3 linked regions of the Macaca mulatta genome follow. The protein of the gene in region 1 binds, or shares a complex with, the protein of each later gene. Links are inferred from orthologs where the notes say so. Each region holds a gene or a part of one and is shown on either strand. Other genes may lie near its edges.

Region 1 (7,201 bases):
CACATCGAGTAGGCTGAGGAGCAGGAGGGGTTGGTTTTGCTGTCTTAGGGGTTGCAAAGGCAGAAGAAAGTCTGAGTATTAGTGGTCGCATGCAGTTCAAACCTGTGTTGTTCAAGAGTCGACTGTGTATTTTTCAGAACAGTGTCTGGCCCAATGAATGTTTGCTGAACGCATAAAGAAAACATAATTTGTGTACTACATCCAACTGGGCAGTTGAGTACTACGTCCAACAGGCCAGGCATGGTGGCATGCACCTATAGTCCCAGACACTCAGGAGGCTGAGCCGGGAGGATCATTTGAACCCTGGAGATGCAGTAGTATACTCTTATATTTCTGCTCATCCTTTTAATCCACATCCCCTCTCAGCTTTATGGGGCTTAATATAGTTATTAGTCAACTGTCAACTGAAGTCATTTTGCTCTTTGAAATTAAAGAATAAACACAAAATTTAAAAAGCACAACCCCATATCCCACGGTCTGTGGAAAGTTCAGCAGCCACCTCAAGATCTTTGTGACTTATCTAGGAATTTTATGCCCTCTGGTCACTTGTGGATTTACAACCTGATGTTTTGAGCTCAACTTGGGTCTTATATCCACCACAATCTTCTCTGCTCTTGCAAATCCAGACAGAAAACTTAGATTTTTGTCCCTACCCTTCTACCCAAAATATCCAACTGCAACAAACACGCTGTTCACACAAGGCACCACTCACTGAAGGCTTGATGTAGTTCAGCCTCCCTCCCACTCAAAGATCCTTCCCAGTTACCTACTTTGTACTTTCCTGGCCCCCTCCCTGGGTTCTGGCTTCTCTTTTTCTCCCCTCAATTCAATCCCCCTCACTTTACTATGCAGGGCAATCTCTCTTTCCTTCTACTCTGCCCCAAGCTTAACTTTGCATAGCCAAAAACTGATTAATGTCTGGATTAAACAAAGGGCCATTTATGCAAGATAGAATCATTGGCAGAGGTTTTGTAATTTCTTTCTCTTTTCCGCAGTAGGTGGAAGAAAGCTGTATGGAAATTCATTTTCCTTAAACTGCAAGAAGTGGCTACAGTTTGGGTTTAAATAATCTTTTCCTGGCTAGGTGAGGTGGCTCACGCCTGTAATCCCAGCACTTTGGGAGGCAGAGGCGGGAGGATCACAAGGTCAGCAGATGGAGACCATCCTGGCTAACACGGTGAAACTCCATCTCTACTAAAAATACAAAAAAAATAGCTGGGCGTGGTGGCGGGCGCCTGTAGTCCCAGCTACTGGGAAGGCTGAGGCAGAAGAATGGTGAACCCGGGAGGCGGAGCTTGCAGTGAGCCGAGATCGTGCCACTGCACCCCAGCCTGGGGGACACAGTAAGACTTCGTCTAAAAAAAAAAAAAAAAACTTTTCCTTCCTCCTTTCTGGTAAATATACACTTTCTTGACATCTATTTCTGATAAACTTTATTTCTTTAACACAGTGTTCTCAAACTTTTGGTCTCAACTCTTTTGCACACTTAAAAATTATTAAGGGCTCTAAACAATTTTTGTTTATATTGACATTATCGACATTCACTATATGAGAAATTAAAAACTTTTGATGTTTTTGAAAATCTTTTTTTTGAAGTCTGGCTTAATAGAAAACAGCTGTTCTGCATTTATTCCGTTGCAATATCACAGTCTAGCAAACTCAACTGTATGCAACTCATGAGAAAGTGAGAGTGAAAAGGCAAATAACATCTTAGTATTATGAAAATACTTTTATATTGACCATTAAAACCACTATTTTAATACACATTCTACTTGTGCATCCTCTTTATGGAAAAAAAAATCTTGAAGAAATCAATGAGATTTTGAATATCCTTAGGCCAGCCATGGTGGCAAGTGCCTACAGTTCCAGCTACTCAGGAGGCGGAGCCGCGGAGGATCGTTTGTGCCCTGGCGTTCCAGTCTGTAATGAGCTAGGATGGCGCCTCTGAATAGCCACTGCAATCCAGCCTGGGCAACATAGCAGACCCCCATCTCAAAAAACAACACAAAACAGAACCATGAACCAAAAATGCAGAAGAAACTCATTGACTGACTTGTCAATTTTAATAGCTATGGCTCAAGACGGTACAATTAAAAACTATGCATGAAGGAAGAACAGAATCCAGCGACATTAGGGCCACTCTTTCACCTTTGCCTCCATCTAAAGTTCCTATTCATCCTTCAAATCTCTGCACAGGTGACGCCTTTTCTCTACAGCCTCTTCCATCACCACAAATACGAGTGATTATAATAATATTATTAACGATTACTACCATTTATTGGCCACTTACTAGGAGCCAAGCAACATCAAAACACAGCACGCGTCAGCTCACTTAATTTTCACAGTAAACTCCGAGGAGGATGCTGGCTTCACTTTACAAAGAGGTGACTGAAGGGTGGAGAAGAAAGACCTCTGGCCTCTAGCTCTATGCCTTGCACATCTGCTCTGTCTCAGCACTTATTGCACCCCGAGGGTCACCGTCCAAGTGCCTCTGTCCTGCTCAAGGTGAGTCCTTGCAGTCAAAGGTCAAGGGTGGCTCGCCTCCACGTCCCCCGCAACCAAACCGCCCGCTCTCAGTGAGGGAGCCACCAGAAGGGAAGGAGCCTCCCAGCTTCCCGGTCCTCACGCTCCCGGAGCCCACACGCCCCAAAAAAGCACAGGAGAGCTCGCTGAGCTCTCCGCGCTGCTAAACCCTCCAAGCTTTGCCGGGAGAAAGAGGTGCCCGTGAGCTCGTCGCGGGGTTCCTCCTCCGCCAGGTGCGCCGCTGAGTTCGGAATCTTTTTCCTCCCGCCGCGGTAGCGGGGCTCAGGCCGGAACCTTTCTTCTCGCATCGCAGTTGCCGGTGGGGAGGAGTGCGGGGCAGGACCAGTCCTCCAGCGGCCGGGTTCTCGCCGCGGTCGCCGGCTGCTTACGTGAGCCGGCCCAGTGTGGGGCTGCGGGTACGGGTCGCTATGGCCGTGGACATCACGCTGCTATTCCGGGCCAGCGTCAAGACCGTGAAGACGCGGAACAAGGCGCTGGGAGTGGCGGTGGGCGGCGGGGTCGATGGAAGCCGGGATGAGCTGTTCCGCCGGAGCCCCCGGCCCAAGGGCGACTTCTCCAGCCGGGCCCGCGAAGTGGTGAGCTGGTTGCTATGGAAACGGCGGGTTGAGGAGGGGGCAGTCCTGCGACAGGGACCCCGAGCCCCAAACCACACCCCGTCCCATAAGCATTGTGTGAAGGAGGTGGCCCCAAGGGGGACAGGAGAGTTGGCCTCAGAGACCGGACAGCTTTTTGGGGAAGGAACAGCCTTATTTTAAGGAAGGGGGACGCATATTGGGGAACAGATTTCTCCTGCGGCGGCGGGGGTTGGGGGACGAGGAAGGAGACCCTCAGAAATCTCTATCTGGAAAGTGCACGGGCGGCTTTGTGAGGTCATGAGTTCGCCGTCACTACAGACTTGCACTCAGGGGAAACCTCACTGTCCTTCACTTCCTGTTGCAGAACTGACCACACCGTATTTGCCTGTGCTCTTTACTTGTCTGCCTCCCATCCCCAGATGAGATTAAAAACCATATTCATCCGAACTCTTTCTTCTCTTTGTCTCCGCGATAAGTAGGGCTCAGTTCCTCTTGAGACGAGTTTAGGGTCATCTTTCGCAAACACGGTGTTACAGTCATCTCAACTACTTTCTGTTCCCTGATCAGAGCAGGTGTCCCTTCATTTCTCTGGGAACAGGAACCTTTTCCTTAAGGGCAGGGACAGTTGTTTTCATCTCACAATGCATGACTCATAGCATTGCTTAGTAAATGTTTGTTGAATGAATGAATGAACAAAATGGCTGTCTTTCCCGTTAAACAGAAAATTCCATGAGGGGAGAGATGTTTGTCTTGTTCCCTTTTGTGTCCGTGACACCAAGGAGGGATCTAGGTTTTGTGGGGCCGAAAGTTTTTATAGTTATGTCTGCCGTCTTTAAGAAATAAAAATCACCAAGAGAGATTCAGAGCTTTGGAAGATGGAAGTGAGGGACCCCGAAGCTAAAACCTCATTAATTTCACAGTAAATCCTACTCTGCTTGGCATACACTTGGCACTGCATAGACACTCAGATGTTTTCGAATGAATGTATGCATGCATGCATTAATGACAGTTAGCAGAGGATACTTAAACATCAGAAAGGGGTTGGACCAGATGAATACACTCTCCCTATTGATGAACATCTATGAAGCACCTACTTTCTGACCAGCCTCATGTTAGAGTAATATGATGTAAAAGGAGTAGTGGAGTAGACGGACATAGACATAAAACAAGTGCCATAAAGCCTTGCAAGTGTTATGTAGGGCACAAAGAAGAATGTGGTCAGTTCTACCTGAGGATCAGAAAAGGCTTTATAGAGGTGATGATGCCCAAAACAAATCTTGAAAGAGGATTAGTTGGCTGCAGTGCAGAAGGGCATCTCAGGCTAAAAGAATAGTATGCGCTAAGATGTGGAGGTGTGTAAGAGTCTGATATAAGTTGGTTCAATAAACATTTGAGTGAGACTGGTATGTGGGACTCTCATAAAAATTGGACCGGGAGAGATCTTAAAGGGCTTTGTATATCACTGCGGAGTTTGAATTTTGCCCTCTAGGCCGTCAGATGTTATATGGTAGAGAAAGTACCAGAGAAGGAGCCAGGAGACCAGGTTGTTGTCTGAACCCTGCAACTGTTAGCTATATGATTTCATTAAGCAAGTGTCAAGACCTCAGTTTATTTACCTGTAAATGGTCTTTTTTTTTCTCCTCCTCCTTTTAAAAAACTACCCTGGTCCTCTATATATAACAAATTAAAGTGGAAGCTTCCTAGGCTGAAATGAGAGGAAGAGAAACAGGACACTCTCCCTCCCAGTTTGGCCTAAGCACTTCCTGGGGTTCCTTTTGTAGAACCGTGGTATGAATATCACAGTATTGGCGTTGTAAGGGTCCCTTCTGACTCTGAAACCACTGATTTATGAACACTGTGCTAATTTTGAGTCCTGCTCAGGGAAAGGGGGGATTTGGGAATGGTCGAGACAAGAGGCACAGTTGAGTTGGCAAGCCCTTTGGATAGCCCTGTGATCACTTCCACCGCTCCCTGAGTGGTGAAAATGTGTTTTAGACTTTTGAGTTAATGGGCCTCAGGGACAGTAACAGTCCTGTAGGGTGCTGAGTTCCCTGTCACTGGAAGTAATTAAACAGAGTGATGACTGCTTTTCAGAGATGTTTGAGAAGAACTTTGTGCATATGTCATAGGTTTGGACCGCGTGACAGTGAAACTTCCAATTCTGCTATGTATTGATGTGAGTAGGTGTCACATTACCTTAAGTGAGTACATGGGCTGTGTTGTTCAGGGACACTGTCCCCCTGACGTAGAGGAAACATACATTCTTGTAAGCAATTTTGATTTTGTGTTGTCATTGCTTTGCGTATTATCTCCTGTTCTTCCAACCATTCCCCACTCCCCATCTTCTTTTGTGGGAATTTTAACTAGAAGAGCTAGTGATGGATGTCCTGTGCTTTCACTATGATTAGATGTGTCAAAAGTTTGCCTGTTATTTTGTTTGGCCTGGATTCCTTATACAGAAAAGTCTGGTCAATACCAGAAGCACATATTCTAATTCAGGTTTAGCCCTGGTTGTCAGACTTAATGAAATGTAGTAAGTTATAGTATGCCTTTTGGTAAGTGCCTTCCTTGAAGCATTTGCTGTTACTTCTAGGATGCGTTTTAATCTGGTTCAATTTCTGTTCTTCCATTCCATTCCTCTAATACATGCCTGATGCCAGATTTCCATCTCACTGAATTGTTGTAAAGGTTATATTAAGTTTCATAAAATTGCATTGAAACTAAATCTTCCTTCCCTACCTCCCACCAATAGACTGATTTCTTCTGCATCATTCTTTTAAACATTTAACTTTTATGTTCAATTTTGCTAAATTTATATGTACTCAAATGCATGTCTACCCATTAAATTACAAATGGAGAGTAATGACTTTTCAGATTATCTGGGGGAGGAACTTATATTATTCGAACAACTCCAAATAATAATGAATATGTCACTCTGCAATGGGAATTTGATTAGTTAACTCATTTGAAGTGTGGGACTAATGAGGACGGTGGGATTGGAAAGAGACCTGGGCCTTGGGTTCAAATCTGGCTTCTCTTACTTAGAAATGGGTGAACTTGGGCAAGTCTGACTCTCATTTTCCATTTCTATAAAATGGACATGATAATACCCTACCTAACTCACAAGCTAAGTAGGGTAGCTTGTGAGTTACCCTACTCACGTAGTCTATATGTATATATTTTAAGAAACCAGAGTAATTATTATTGTTCCCCTCAAATACCTCCCCCCTCCTCATGTAGGCCATTTAGACATATTTTCTTTAGTGGCACCAAGCTATATTTTCCAAACCACTTAGTTTTCTTGCACTTTCATTCCTTGCTTATAAAGGGGAGCCAAGTTAAATGCATGAGGAATGAGTGAAAATCCTGGGTAGGTACTGATGAATCAGTGATGGTGCAGAAGTACTGTCTGCATTTGTAAAAGACGGTAGCATTTCTTTGCCAAGGTGAAACTCTTTCAGTGATGGCAGATGTGTGGCAGGTAGGCAGCTGTTACTTTCTTTTCTTCCTTGTGATCATGGAAGTCAATGCTCATAACTTCGTGGATCCCTAGAGCTCAGAATTCTTTGCAACATTGTCCCCCAGGAGCCATTACCTGTTATTAGGCTTGCCATTCAAGTTGAAATCTACTTGGCATATGGTAACAGTAGAATCTGTATGCTTAAAGCAGACCCATGTTGGTTTGTTTGTGTGTATGGTTTTTTTTTTCACTCAAAAGGACCTCGAGTTCATTTTGTCAATAGATAAGAAAACTAACATCTAAGTAAATGAAATTACTTGCCCTAAGTCATAGCAGTTGAGGTCATAGGACAGAGCCAGAACTAGAAGCCAGGTCCTTTGACCTGGTTTAATGCTGCTGTCCCCGTGTCCCCTACATCCTCCTATAATTTTTAAACCAGAATTTCTTTGGCTTCTGAATGGCAGTGAGTTTCTTCTTCTTGAGTTAATTCTGAATACTGAATACTGAATGGAACGTGGGGCAGGAGGACTTGGATTTGAATGTGTCTTATCTGCTATATGAACTTGGGGAAGCCACTTAATTCAGTTTCCTTATGTCTAAAATAGAGTGAGTAATGGCAACC
Region 2 (7,282 bases), on another chromosome or scaffold:
CCAGGAAATGTTGGAGCTGAGTTGAGACCCATCCATGGGTTGAGGTCAGGGCTCACCTCGTCCACCTCCCCCTTGATGGAGTCGAGGGTGATGTTGAAGAGCACTTTGAGGATCTCCATGGCCCGCTCAGTCTCTTGGGAAGGAAGGAGCTTGGGTGGGTTCCCTTCAGGAGTCACCCCCAGCGTCAGCTCCAGTGTGTCAGTCAGCAGATGCACTCCTTTCAGCTCCTGAAACAGCTGCTGGCGCACATCGGTGCGGAGTGCCGTTAGCAGGAAGAGGAGCCTCAAGTCAAAGAACTGGACATCGTGGGGGAAGCTCCTCTCCCGGTACAGCCCCACACGCTCTGTGAGCTTCACCACTAGGCGGGCCTCTGCTGCCAGCATCTGTGCCACAGGGCTGCTGAGCACGAGGTTGCACAGGCACTTGAGGGACTCCAGTACAACATCCATGTCGGGGGAGTCTGGGACGGACCCCTCAGAGCCAGAGATGTCAGCATAGCAGGCCAGTGCCTGCAGGCTCTGGCGGCTGGTAAACGGGTCCAAGCAGTTGCGGTCCCGGGACAGGATTCGGACACTCTGCAGCCAGGTGACACGGTGGGAGGGTGGCAAGCCCTGTTCCAGGACGGAGACCAGCAGCTCCGCCAGTCTCTGTGGGCAGGGAGACGAGCGGCTCCACCAGGCCCCTCTTCCTGGGGCCACCCGTCCCTGTCCCTTTACCCCTCGGGCCAGCACCCACCTTCCGGTCCTCCTGTTGAGCATCATCAAACGTGAAGCTCTGGGAGTGCTGCAGAGAGAACGAGTGAATTCAAGTCCACAGAGGGGCAGTATCCGCGCCCGCTGACGGGGGGCGGCCTATTGGCCTCTAACTCAGGCAGCAGCCACTGCTCAGAAGGGGTGGCAGGGTCTACACTCGCCCCCATCCCTACACACCTGCCACCCAACGGGTGCACCCCAGACACTCTCCCCCCAACACTGCATCCCTGACGTGCCACCCCCACCCCGCCGCGTCCCCTCTGCTTGCTGACACAACCCCTGCCTCACCCACACCGTCCCGACCACCCGCGCACGACCCTGCCCCACCCCCTCCGTGCCCGCCCCCCGGCCTCAGGCGGCCGCTCACCTCCTGGTTGTATGACCGCAGAGCTTCCATAATCACATCCTCCTTCCCCGTCTCCACGGCTTCTGCAACCGCCCGGGGCTCCATGGCGCCCCCGGAACCCGGCGCGGGGAAGGCGGGACGGGCCCTTCCTCAACCTTTCCGGGCCGCAGTTCGCCGGCCCCGCCCTGGCCCAGAAAGCCCCGCGCCAGCGCGCGGGGGAGGCCGGGACGGGACGCGGCGTCTGGTGGCGCTTCAAGGGGGCGCGGCCTGAGGCAGCACTGGCGGCTCGGAAGACCCGAGTCGGGCCGAGTCGCCCTGAACCGGACTGATCCCCCTCCTTGTGACCGGGGCTTCTTGGGCCGGAATTTCCAACAGGAAAGGATCTCAGCCCCCACCGCGCCCTGCCACACACACAGTGACGCCCCTCGAGCTCCACAGAACCGATGGGATGTAGACGGGAAAGCCGAAGTGGAAAGGACTTTTCAGTCCCGGGCCATTGGGTTCGTTAGGCGTTTGCTGGGGAATGCAGGCGAACGGGACTCCCAGGCCCCTGCCTTTGTGGAGCTTATGTTCCAGAGGGGAAGGCAGACAAGGAAAAACAAAAGGACATGAGGCGGTCACAGGGCTGTGCTTCAAAAGAAGCAAAAGGTGACTGCTGGGCTGCAAGGGCTGTGAGGAAGTGGTGTTTTTGCTAACACTGGACGATGGGAAGCGAGCTGGGAAAAGACTGGAGGAGCCACTCCAGGCAGAAGGAGCAGCACTTGCAAAGGTGGAAGGGCCGTGAGGGGCCGAGAGAAAGGGGAGCAACGCAGTCTGGCCTGGACTCAGTTCCCTCTTGACAAGCAAAGATCCTGCGTGTCCGTTTCAGTGGCCATCAGGAGGATTCAGTGACGCACAGGAAGCGCGGTCCACTGGCTCTTGTAACAAGTGCCCGGGAGCAAAGGCGTCTACGGCCCCCACTCCCCGTGCCGCCTCCCAGTCTCTTTCCCTGCTTCACTTTCCTGTAGCGCTTTCCGCACACCTGTATTCGACGCGGCGCGCACTCGCAGGCACTAGCGAGGCGCCGATCTCCACTTGACAGAGGAGGCACCCTTGCCCCCTCCACACCCAGGGCTCCTCGCGGGCTTCTGCCCGAGGGGCCTACTCCTCCCTCATGACCCGCCTGTGAATCCTTCCTAACCGTTAGGACCTAACGCATGGCAGCGTCTTTCCACCACCATCGTCTTGGCACTGAGCAAGCAAACGGCCCCGCCCCGCCCCACGTTCACAGGAACAACAAACAAACGTCACATCCGCGGTGCTGCTGTAATCCCAGCACCTTGGGAGCCCGGCAGGCGGGGGCTGCAGTGAGCTGAGATCGCGCCACTGCCTGGGCGACAGTGCTGAAAATAAGTCACAGCGACGCCCATCGCTTCCGCGACCCCGCGGTTCCCCACCCTCGGGCCTAAGCCGGAAATCAGCGAGCCCGACGCGGAAGCGGCTGGGCCATCTAGGGGCGTGGTTGGCGCGGAGGCGGGGCCATCGCTGGCGGGGGGCGGGGCCGGAAGCCCGTTCCCCGTGACTGCGCCACGTCTGAGGCGGCTGTGGCCGCGTCGGTGTTGGCGTCGAGGAGCCGGGGCAGGGCACGATGGCGGACTGGGCTCGGGGTGAGCGCGGGAGAGCGGAGCCGTTGGGGGCAGGGCCGGGCCGGAACCGACGCCGCTGCCTGTAGAGCCGCGTGCGCCTGCCTCTGGCCTCGGCGGGGAGGACCCTGTCAGGGGGGCGGATTCGGATCCTTCCGGGTCCCAGCAGGGCCGGGTTTCGGCCAGCACTGCCGCTAGGAAGGACGGCGGGCGGGGCGGCCCAGCAGCTCCAGCGAGGGGTCGCGCAGCTGCGGGGTCCCCCCACTCCCCGCCGCTCCCTGTGAGATCGTTTTGCATGGGTTCAGGGTGAGCGGGAGTCTCGGCATTCGACAGGTCCCGAGGCCAGGCCTTCGGAGTAGGCTGTGCTCCGCTGGTGTCCAGGCAGGCCTCTGCTAACTAACTTGGGCCTCGGTGGCCCCATTTCCCCTCCTGGAGCCCGTGTTCTTCTCTGCAAAGTGGGATATTGATGCCTGTCTGAGTTATGATGAGTAAAGGAATTAATGAACAGGAAGTGGTTGGAAGGACGCTGGCATCCCTTCCTTAACGTTGAAGCTAGGGAGAAGGTGGTTCTCACCCACCTGAGGTGACAGAAATTCCTTATCACCTGGCCCAGCCTGTCACAGGCCGGGCCTCTGCAAGCGCTGTGCTCTGGGTGTTGCAGGAAGCCCTGTGTGGGATGCAGACCAGGGATCACGCTCCTGGTCGACCTCAGCTCCCATCTCGCGGAATTGGGAACTTTGCTCAGCTGTTTTCTGTGCGGTAAAGGGCCTTCCCAATGTTCTGTCCTGGTTCCTTGCCACCTCTTCAGGACCCAGCTCAAAGGTCGTCCCTGCAGGAGCCTTTCTGCTGCCCTGCTGGGTACTTTTCCCAAGTCTTTCCTATGCTCTTAGCAGAGTTTACTCTTTTTCTATAAGAATGGGCTCCACATACACAGATGGCGACCTCCCTGGATGCAAGTGTCACATCTTATTAACATCCCAGAGCTGGGCCCAGTTTTTGCTACACAGTCTCAGAAGGTGCTGGTTGGACTGAACCCACTGTGGGTGCTGGCCCATCCCCACCTGGATGTGTACACAGGACACGTGTTCACATGACAGGCCCTTGCACACATCGTCCTTTATGCAGTCTCTCTCACATGTGCAAGATTCACCTGCTGGAACCTAGGTTAGGTCCCCTAGATTTCTGACTCACCCAGTTGTGGTTGGAGTGAGAGGGGTCAGAGGCCTCGCTCCCCGATGGATGCAATCACTCAGCCCCTCTCTTTTCTCAGCTCAGAGCCCGGGCGCTGTGGAAGAGATTCTAGACCGGGAGAACAAGCGAATGGCCGACAGCCTGGCCTCCAAAGTCACCAGGCTCAAATCGGTCAGTGGTGGTCTGTCCTCTTACCTCCACCTGGTGCCCTTGGGGAATGGGGATCAGAGGGAAGGTAGAGGGCCCAGAGGAGTTTCAGGCAGTTTGCCGTCCTCCTCGTTCGATTCGTGGCTGTGCTCACCTGCATGAGGCCCCAGCTGACACCTGGACCTTCCTGCTGCTGCCCCACTGTGTCTGGCAGAGTTGTTGGCAGGGTTTGTCTGGTCTGGGAAGGGTGAGTGCTGTATTATGTGTCTGCTCTGGCCCAACCCTGCCCTCTCTGTGTGCTGAACAGCTCGCCCTGGACATCGATAGGGATGCAGAGGATCAGAACCGGTACCTGGATGGCATGGTAAGGGCCCACGGTGTGCGCGAATCAGTGCCCTGCCCCCAGCACTACCTGCTACAGAGCTTGCAGTGTCTCCTTCAGCACTGGTGCGGGTGGGTGGTCAAATCACCACTTCTGTGTGATCTTGCCGGGATTCTTCCCTTAGGACTCGGATTTCACAAGCATGACCGGCCTGCTTACAGGGAGTGTGAAGCGCTTTTCCGCAATGGCAAGGTCCGGACGAGACAACCGGAAGCTTCTATGTGGCATGGCTGTGGGTCTGATTGTGGCCTTCTTCATCCTCTCCTACTTCTTGTCGAGGGCAAGGACGTGAGACAGTGGGAGCTGGTGTCTGTGGGTGCCAAGGGCAGCCATTGTCTTCCCTGCCTGGCATCTTGGGCTCCAGAGGACTTACCTGCAAAGTACTCCTTTGAAATTATAATCGTGGGCCAGGAATCCTTTCTGTGTGGCAGGAGGCTGCGGCTGCCTGTGACCTGATGAGCTCATGTTGGCTGGTCCCATGTGTGGAAGGGACTCTTTCGGGGAAACCAAGGCCCAGCCCCTCCCCCCTTCCCCAGATGCTAGAGACACAAGCAGAGCTGGGGCCGCAGCGTGTCTGGAGGAGCCAGGTCTGAGCAGAGCAACTGTTGAATCCCAGGCGTGGCCACCTGTGGCCTGCAGCCTTTCTCCCAGCTCTTGGGACGCTGACATCTGAAGGCTCCACGGTCGTGTCCTTGTCTGGATGAGGCCATGTCTGTGATCCAAGGTTCCTGGAACTGACACAGGAAGGGGCTGTGAACCCTAAGTGGGTGCTATCTCCTCCAACTGAGGCTTCTCAGCCTGGAGATGGCAGTTACTCCTGGCCATGGTTGCTGAGCACAGGAGACCAGTGCGGGCCACCCTGCTGTGAGTTCTCTGTGCCTACTCTCCAGTCCTGCGGATGAAGTGAGACCCCTGGGGAGAACGGGTTGTGGATGAAGGAGTGGACTGCAGCCTTGGCCTAGCCACTGGGTGGGATCCTTCTGGGTCCTGTGACTGTGTATCCAGGAGCAGAAACTTGTATTCTCAGGATTCAGAATCTACCCAGCACCAGAGATGTGTTTTCAGAAGAACAGACCTAGAAATGGGCCTCTCTGGCATTTCAGAGTCAGGCAAAGCAGGCAGGGCCGGGGAGCCATTGTGGGTCTACACAAGAAGGTTCCTGAGAGGCTATCAGTTGTTGCCATCTAGCTTGCTGGTAACTCTGGCGCCTCTGCCAAGCCCTGCCAGACTCCTCTGGCTGTGATGGCGTTCTGTGCCATCCTCCTTGTCCCCAGCCTCTGCAGGATACCCTCCCTACCCACCTCTCCCTGGGCCTTCCCTGTCCACTGGGCTGGGCTCATGTTCAAACAACTAGACTGGCAGGGCAACGGCTTTTCCCCACCCCAAGATGAGGTCCTTGCCCCCTTGGCCTAAAAACACCTTTAAAGCTCTGTGCCCTTCTCTGTGCTGTTCCAATCTTCTGCCTCCCAGTCATTCCCTGGGGACTATGGGATCACTGTCCCGCAACCTGTGTGGCCACACTGTGTGTCCTGTCAATCCAGAACTGCCTCTGAGCTCCAGGCTGACCACAGATGAGCCACAGCCTGGTACCTGCAGCCCCACTTTGCTCACCCTTCCCCTCCCCTCCTTCTTCCTTCCACACAGCAAGCCCACCTTTCTCCATGCACGCTCACCATAGCCCCCTTCCTTGTTACCTGAGCCCTCCTTTGTACCTGGCTGAGGCTGTCAGCCTCCTGGAGGAGTGGGGTCCACCGTCTTCCCCTATGCAGTGCGAGCTCACTTCTCACCCAGCAAGGTGGACTCACTTGCCTCCATGTCTCTGGGGCTTTGCTGTTGCCCTGAAACCTAGCTGGGCTGGTGCTTCCCCCTTCTCGGATGTCCCTTTGCAGGCGCCTGTCGTTCCTCAGGCACCAGTGTGCTTGTCTGCCACGGCGAGCTCGTCAGGGGCTTGTACCCTGGTCTCCAAGCATGGTAGCAGCTGCCTGCGTTGGGTCTCCATCTGGTCACTGCAGGTGCCAACCCTTTATCTCCCATATTTTCCTGGGCCATGGAGGGCTGACCTCCATTTTGGGGAATGTGGTTGAGCTGTGGTAACCAGCTATACCCCAGGTGCCCTTCCCATGGTGGTACCCGCCCACCTTGCTGATGTGAACTAGGAAGTTAGGCTGCATCTCGGACTGGCCTTCGCTGGAGAGGTGCTTTGCTGTCTCGGAGTCTCAGTCACTGTGTTCCCTCCCCACCTGTCTCCATGGCTGTTAGCAGCCCTCCCAGGTAATTTGGGGTCTAGGCTGGACTTCCTTTGTGGTTTGCTTTTCTGCTTCTCACTCTTGTTGTATTTTTTTTTTTTTTTTTTTGAGACGGAGTCTCGCTCTGCCACCCAGGCTGGAGTGCAGTGGCTGGATCTCAGCTCACTGCAAGCTCCGCCTCCCGGGTTCACGCCATTCTCCTGCCTCAGCCTCCCGAGTAGCTGGGACTACAGGCGCCCACCACCTCGCCCGGCTAGTTTTTTGTATTTTTTAGTAGAGACAGGGTTTCACCGTGTCAGCCAGGATGGTCTCGATCTCCTGACCTCGTGATCCGCCTGTCTCGGCCTCCCAAAGTGCTGGGATTACAGGCTTGAGCCACCACGCCCGGCCTCTTGTTGTATTAAGAAGGATTCCATAAAGGGAGAGTGGCAACCCTGCTGCTGCTGTGCCTGACCAGAGTTCTTGAGGGGCCCTGACCCTAACCCTCCAGCTCAGCCCTGTGCACCTGACCCTGTAAATGAGTGGGGTTTGCTGACTATAATCCCTGACACCAGTAAAACCAAAAGGAGTCTTGGGGGCTCAGTATGAGAGCCAGG
Region 3 (7,046 bases), on another chromosome or scaffold:
CAAAAAATTAGCCAGGCCTAGGGGCATGCGCCTGCGGCCCCAGCTACCCAGGAGGCTGAGGTGGGAGGATCACTTGAGCTTGGGAAGCCAAGGCTGCAGTGAGCAGTGATGGTGCCACTGCACTCCAGCCTGGATGACAGGAGACAGGAGTGAGACCCTGTGTCAAACAAATTCCTGTGTTACCAAGGCAACTGCCCAAAAGGCTCTTAACACAGTCCCCTATACCCAGATTCTTGAGATCTCTCTCATCCTCTGTCTAGCCATTAATGCCCTCCTTCTAAAAGAAAATCCACATCAATCAACTGCTTTAAGTCCTTTACTGACTTTCCATATCAAGTCCAAACGTCTCAATGTCACACTAAGATCCCCTCACAATCTGGCTGTTTCACCTGCCCCATCTACTACTACTTTCCCATATACATTCTAAGCTCCAGAGTTGGGGGTATTCCATTTTTTAACTCCTGTGTTGCCTCTTTGCATTTCCCCTGTTTAGCAAACTCCCATTTAACCCGTTATATTCAGTTTGAAGTTTTTTGAAGCTTCCCCTCTCTTCCCCATGCTCAAGTCCAGCCTTTTTTATGGTCTCTGAGAACTTTATTTTAGAATTAATCACACACTTTGTTGTAAGTTTGTTTACTTTTTTTTTTTGAGATGGAGTCTCGCTCTGTTGGCTGTAATCTCCACCTCCTGGGTTCAGTTAATTCTCCTGCCTCAGCCTCCTGAGTAGCTGGGACTACAGGCGCATGTCACCACACCTAGCTAATTTTTGTATTTTGAGTAGAGACAAGGTTCCACCATGTTTACCAGGATGGTCTCTATCTCTTGACCTTGTGATGCGCCCGCCTAGGCCTCCCAAAGTGATGGGATTACAGGCATGAGCCACTGTGCCCGGCCGTTTGTTTCTTTTTAAGGTAAGTACTCTGGAAGTCTTCAGGACCCAGACAGTGGCTGATACATAATAATTCTCAGTGTTTATTGAAAAATAATTCAATTACACAGCATAAGCTACATGCAAGGGCTGTATTATGTACATTATGCTGTGCCTAATAATTCATGATGGGCATTAAAGTGCTGAAAACTTTATGATGTGGTCTCTGAACTAGAAAAAGACGGATTCAGAGATGAGGCATCATGTGTTTGCTTAGATAAATTCAATTTATTCAACAAATATTTATTGAGCAGTGTGAACGAGGCAGTGAATAAGAGGTAAAGTTGCTGGACTTCTTATTACAATTCTAGGGATATGTATATACTTTATTTACAACTATGTCTGTTGCCAGCAACTTAGAATATTTTGTGGTTGGGTAGAAATTCACCTATTTCTGCTGAGCACAGTGGCTCACGCCTGTAATCTCAGCACTTTGGGAGGCCGAAGCGGGTGGATCACTTGAGGTCAGGCGTTTGAGACCAGCCTGGCCAACATGGTGAAACCCCATGCCTACTAAAAATACAAAAATTAGCTGGGTGTGGCAGCATGCGCCTGTAATCCCAGCTACTTGGGAGGCTGAGGCATGACAATCGCTTGAACCCAGGAGGTGGAGGTTGCAGTGAGCTGAGATTGTATCACCGCCTGGGTGACAGAGCAAGACTCTGTCTCAAAAAAAAGAAAAAAAAATCACATATTTCCGACTGTCCTCTTTGCAGGATGGAGAAAAAGGCTGGGGAGACAACAAACGTGAATGTAACTATCTTAGCTTTATGTTGCTATAACAGAATAGCTGAGTCTGGGTAATTTATAAAGAAAAGAAATGTATTTCTCAGAGTTCCGGAGGCTGGGAAGCCCAAGGCTGAGGGGCCTGATTCTTTCAAGGGCCTTCTTGCTACCCATGTGTCACCCTATGGCAGAAGGTGGAAGAGCAACAGATCAAGAGAGCAGGCAAGCAGGAGAGGGCTGAACTAACCCACTCTCTCAGCAACCAACCCACTCTCAGGATAACAATCCAATCCCTGAGGATGGAGCCCTCATGGTCTAATCATTTCTTATGGGTCCCACCTCTTAACACGATTAAAATGGCAAATAAATTTCAACATAAGTTTTAGAGGGGACATTCAAACCATAGTAATAATGAATTCAATTTTCTATTTTTCAAGCAATGTTCTTTTGCATTATTTAGCCTTATAGAAATGGGCAATGCAAAAATTAACTCAGTGCCAGGTTGAAAATGCAGTCTACTTTTTTTTTTTTTAGACAGAGTCTTGCTCTGTCATCCAGGTTAGAGTGCAGTGGTGCGATCTTGGCTCACTGCAACCTCCAGCTCCAGGGCGCAAGTGATCCTCCCACTTCAGCCTCCCCAGGAGCTGGGACTACAGGCACGCACCACAATGCCTGGCTAATTTTTGTATTTTTTGTAGAGATGGCGTTTCACCACGTTGCCCAGGCTGTTCTCAAAATCATTCAATACAGCAATACTCCTAACTCAGCTTCCCCAAGTGCTGGGATTACAGGTGTGAGCCACCACGCCTAGCCTGCAGTCTTTTCTTTTCCTTTTTTTTTTTTTTTCTGAGACAGAGTCTTGCTCTGTTGCCCAGACTAGAGTGCAGCGGCAGGATCTCGGCTCACTGCAACCTCTGCCTCCTGGGTTCAAGCAATTCTCCTGCCTCAGCTTCCTGAGTAGCTGGGACTACAGGCAACTGACACCATGCCTGGCTAATTTTTGTATTTTTAGTAGAGATAGGGTTTCACTATGTTGGCCAGGCTGGTCTTGAACTCCTGACCTCAAGTGATCTGCCCGCCTCTGCTTCCCCAAGCACTGGAATTACAGGTGTGAGTCACCGTGCCCTGCCTGCAGTCAACTTTTCAATCACATAAATCAGATCCCACAATGGTTCTGCACAATATATTTTAACTGCATCCCATCATATTTAGAAAAAGGCACAAGTCTTTCACCATGGTCCACAAGGCCCTACATGATCTGGCCCTGCCTACCTCTCTCCTTTGCTCACTTCATCCCAAACACATGGAACTTCCTGCTCTTCGTTGAACACACCAAGCTCATTTCCGCTTAAGGGCATTTGCAGTGCTATTCCCTCCTTCTGACACTCACTTCTCCCAGATTTCTGGTTTACTCCCTCTCTTCATTCAAGTCTCAGTTCAAATGCCATCTCCTCACAGAGGACTTTCACAACCGCCCTATTTAAAACTGAAGTCCCGAGGAAAGCGGATCGCTTGAGGTCAGGAGTTAGAGACCAACCTGGCCAACATGGTGAAACCCCGTCTCTACTAAAAATACAAAAAAAATTAGCCAGGGGTGGTGGCGCAACTGTAATCCCAGTTACTCCAGAGGCTGAGGCAGGAGAATTGCTTCAATCTGGGAAGTGGAGGCTGCAGTGAGCCGAGATCGTACCACTGCACTCCAGACTGGATGACAGAGTAAGACTCTGTCTCAAAAATAATAATAATAATAATAATAATAAAATAAAACTGAAGTCCCATCCCCTATTCCTTTACTCTGATTTATTTTCCTGTATTCTTTAACACTGCCGCTTAATAGTTATATATTGTTTATCACCTACCCACTAGAATGGGGACGTGCATGTCTTTTTCACTGTAATTTGCAATATTCACCAGCACCTAGAACAGTGCCTGGCACACAGCAGCCTCACAATAAATATATATTAAATACATGCATTTCATTCTCACCAGAGTCATTCAATTCCTATGACCTTGAGTAATTCGTTGAGCAAACACTCAAGCTCTGATCCTTAAATAAAAGCAATAAAACAAAGTTTTGTCCTTGCCATCAAGTTCTATATATCCGGAGGCCAAGAACTATATATAGCAGGTCTTCCTATGGATCTAGGGCCAGAAAACTCTAGCTCCTCCAGACAAAACTTGTAGCAACCTGAACCATGAAATGAAGGGGTAGTAAATAGTCTCAGCAGTAAAAACGTTCAAAACAAGACCACATCTAAACGCCACCATACGGTTTTAAAGGCCAGCTCTCTACCCTCCAATAACAGGTATATACCAACGCCCCAAATTATGACTCTTTTGGGTTTTTAACCCTTTTTCTGTGCTACAGATCCTCTGTCAGTCTGGTGAAAACTAGACCTGTCTTGACACTAGTGCTTCTAAATGCATAAAACAAACAAAAACAGCTACGAAAGAAACCCACGCTACATTACAGGACCGCAGATGTAAAAGCCCCTCTGCTCTGTTTGCCGCAGTGGAAAAAAACGAGAAAATGTGGAAGGCCATAGAAGGAACCCAGGGAACTGAACCCCGCGTCCCTGGGCGCGTCCCCAATTCACTCTCAGTGGCAGGGAGACCCGGGGTTGCGACCCAGCCAGCCCTAGGGGGCGTGTCTGAGGACGCGGAGGAAGGAGACGCGGGCCCGGGTCTGGGAGGAAGGTGGGGGAAAATTCCAAAGCGCGCGGGGCCGCGCTCCCCACGGCGTGGCCCACCCGCGCCTCACCGGTCCCAGCAGTCCCCAGCAGCCGCTCGGGCACCCCTTGTAGGTCTTCATGGAGGCCGCGGAAGATCTCGTGCAGCTTCTCGAAATGCTCCGAGGAGGCGGCGGAGGCGGCCATGGCGCAGGACGCGCTCGAGCAGCGGCCACCCAGATTCGGGGCTCTGGGCCCTCTCCTAGCCCGGCGGTCAGCCGCCCAGTCCCGTGGCCATAACGGCGACCGCCGCACCACCGCTGCCCAGGACGAGGCTCTTCCGGGGCCGCAGAAGGGTCCTCCCGAGCCGGAACGCCCACCCTCTCTAGCCCGTGATTGCGGGAGCGCCGGCGCGAAGGCCTGACGGGAAGGCGGCAGACTGCGCGGCCTAGGCGACTCCTGAGGGAGCGAGCGGGGCGAATGGTAGTCGCAGAGCCCGAGAAGTGCCCGGTCCGGGGTGGGGAAAGGCCGCAGAGAAAGGGCCCTAGGGGACCTGCGGGACGGGCAGCTCGGCCGCCTTCCTCCCAGGCCCCGCCGGCCGGCCAGGGGCGGGCGCTGCAGTGCACGCCGGGGGATGTAGTTTGACTCGGAGAGCGTCTGGTGCCGGAGTCGCGCGTTGCCCGGGGTGCCAGGTTTAGCCCGCCAGGCGACAGCGGGCTTCGGCCCGATTTGATGTGTGTTTGCGTCTAGACGTCGTCCTCACTGTCATCGCGCTTTGCTTTGCCACCCTGACCCGAATTCCTCATTTCGCGTCTTGACCGAATGTTAGCTTTAGGCCCTGGAAAGAGCCGGGCCGGGGGCTCTGCCTGCAGTCGGGAGGTGGAGCACTTTTCCTGGAAGGCCCAGCTGCTCCCCAAGCTTTCAGAAGTGGAACTTGGCCGGGCGAGTGGCTCGCGTCTGTAATCCCAGTACTTTGGGAGGCCGAGGTGGGAGGATTGCTTGAACCCAGTAGTTCGAGACCAGCCTGGTCACAATAGCGAGAGCACTACCGGAAACCCAAAATAGGAGCCGGGCAAGGTGGCGCGCACTTCTGGCCCCAGCTACCCCGGAGGCTGAAGCAGGAGGATTACTTGAGTCCACAAGGTTGAGATTGCAGAGTTCCCACCACTGCACTCCAGCTTGGGAGACTTTGCTCCCAAGTGGAGGGTGACCTTGTCTCCAAACAAACCCAAAAAACAAAAATTCAAAAGTGGAACCCAGTTAGGATGACCTCGAAATACTCTAGCTGCTAGGCTGCCTCGTGCACTTGTTCACAACAGGTGTTTGTCAAGCGTAGGCATTGCGAGGGATCTGGGCATGTTGGTGAATAAAACATTTACTCTCTGCTCCGAGGGAATTTATAATCTGGTGTGGAAGGTGGGCCTGGCTTCATTAGGTCTCATCTGCCACTAAGTGTCACTTGTTAACAATTACAAGGTCCTTTCCTGCACTCCATGGGTATAAATGCCGGTCTTCAGGTCGGGCATGGTGGCTCAAGCATCATCCCAGCACTTTGGGAGGCCGACGCGGGCGGATTACTTGAAGTCAGGAGTTCGAGACCAGCCTAGCCAACACGGTGAAACCCCCATCTCTGCTAAAATCACAAAAATTAGCCGAGCGTGGTGGTGGGCGCCTGTAATCCCAGCTACTCGGGAGGCTAAGGCAGGAGAATCACCTGAACCCGGGAGGTAGTGGTTGCAGTGAGCTGAGATCATGCCACTGCACTCCAGCCTGGGTGACAAAGCAAGATCCTATCTCAAAAAAATTAAAATAAATTCTTATTTTCACCGATTTCACGGTTTGCTCAAGGTGTCTGTTCTCAAATGTTTGCTTGGGAGCTCAATTTTAAACTGCCTACAAATATTAAAAGATGTATGAATGCTCAGGAGAAAATGCTTTGCTAATTTATATCTCCTGGGCCCTCATTTTTGTTAGATCAAGTTCATTGGCTGTTGATTCAGCACACTTTGGTTGAGCTCTTAATATGCACTGAGCACAGACGTGACCAAGTCTGAGGTAACTGTCAGTATACTGTGTAAGTCCCACAACACAATGCTGGGACTTGTCACAGTACAGAAATAAGGGGCAGGTGCAAAAAAAAGATTAATAGCCTGGGGCCGGGCGCCATGGCTCACACCTGTACCCCAGCACTTTGGGAGGCCGAGGTGGGACGACTGTTTGAGCTCAGAGTTTGACGCCAGCCTGGGCAACAAAGCAAGACCCTGTCTCTAATAAAAAAGAAAAGAAAAAAGAATGGCCCGGGATGATCAAGAAATGTGGGAAAAGTATCTGTGAAGAGTGTCAAAAAATGTTAAGTAGGAAATGGTGAATGAATAATCAGATTATCACACAACCTAAATTAATAGCATGTGGATTGAGATTGCACTGTAGCTAGACTCTGGGACAAATTATTCTTTAGAATGAGAAATCATTGCATAACCATAATAATGAACAGTGTTTTCTTCTTTTGACTGTAATTAAACTTTTAATTCTTAGTTTTTATTCTGGTAAATGAAAACAAAAAATAATCAAAACATTTTTATTTGTCATTGACAGTTCAATATAAATTAAGTAAAACATTAATTTATTCTGCACTATTAGAATTTTTCTAATTTTTCCATAAAATGACCATTTCTAAACATATAGCTTAATGGTCAAAACAAGTTCAATAAAATATTAATTTA

Evidence for each region.
Region 2: STX18 (region 1) and BET1L share a complex: the UniProt entries of both Homo sapiens proteins name them as parts of the SNARE complex. The link is inferred for Macaca mulatta from reciprocal best matches to the Homo sapiens genes STX18 and BET1L.
Region 3: STX18 (region 1) and VTI1B share a complex: the UniProt entries of both Homo sapiens proteins name them as parts of the SNARE complex. The link is inferred for Macaca mulatta from reciprocal best matches to the Homo sapiens genes STX18 and VTI1B.

The regions. Positions count from the first base shown.
Region 1 is NC_133410.1:8,443,992-8,451,192, forward strand, and holds the start of STX18 (syntaxin-18), read left to right. Parts: upstream 1-2,933; 5' UTR 2,934-2,951; coding exon 2,952-3,119; intron 3,120-7,201. UniProt on the Homo sapiens protein: Syntaxin that may be involved in targeting and fusion of Golgi-derived retrograde transport vesicles with the ER.
Region 2 is NC_133419.1:79,418-86,699, reverse strand, and holds BET1L (BET1-like protein), read left to right. Parts: upstream 1-2,640; 5' UTR 2,641-2,725; coding exon 2,726-2,744; intron 2,745-3,990; coding exon 3,991-4,082; intron 4,083-4,365; coding exon 4,366-4,422; intron 4,423-4,564; coding exon 4,565-4,732; 3' UTR 4,733-5,357; downstream 5,358-7,282. Other genes in the region: RIC8A (chaperone Ric-8A), read right to left, coding at 57-647, 736-783, 1,120-1,203. UniProt on the Homo sapiens protein: Vesicle SNARE required for targeting and fusion of retrograde transport vesicles with the Golgi complex. Required for the integrity of the Golgi complex.
Region 3 is NC_133412.1:140,847,053-140,854,098, forward strand, and holds the start of VTI1B (vesicle transport through interaction with t-SNAREs homolog 1B), read right to left. Parts: upstream 4,643-7,046; 5' UTR 4,531-4,642; coding exon 4,416-4,530; intron 1-4,415. UniProt on the Homo sapiens protein: V-SNARE that mediates vesicle transport pathways through interactions with t-SNAREs on the target membrane. These interactions are proposed to mediate aspects of the specificity of vesicle trafficking and to promote fusion of the lipid bilayers.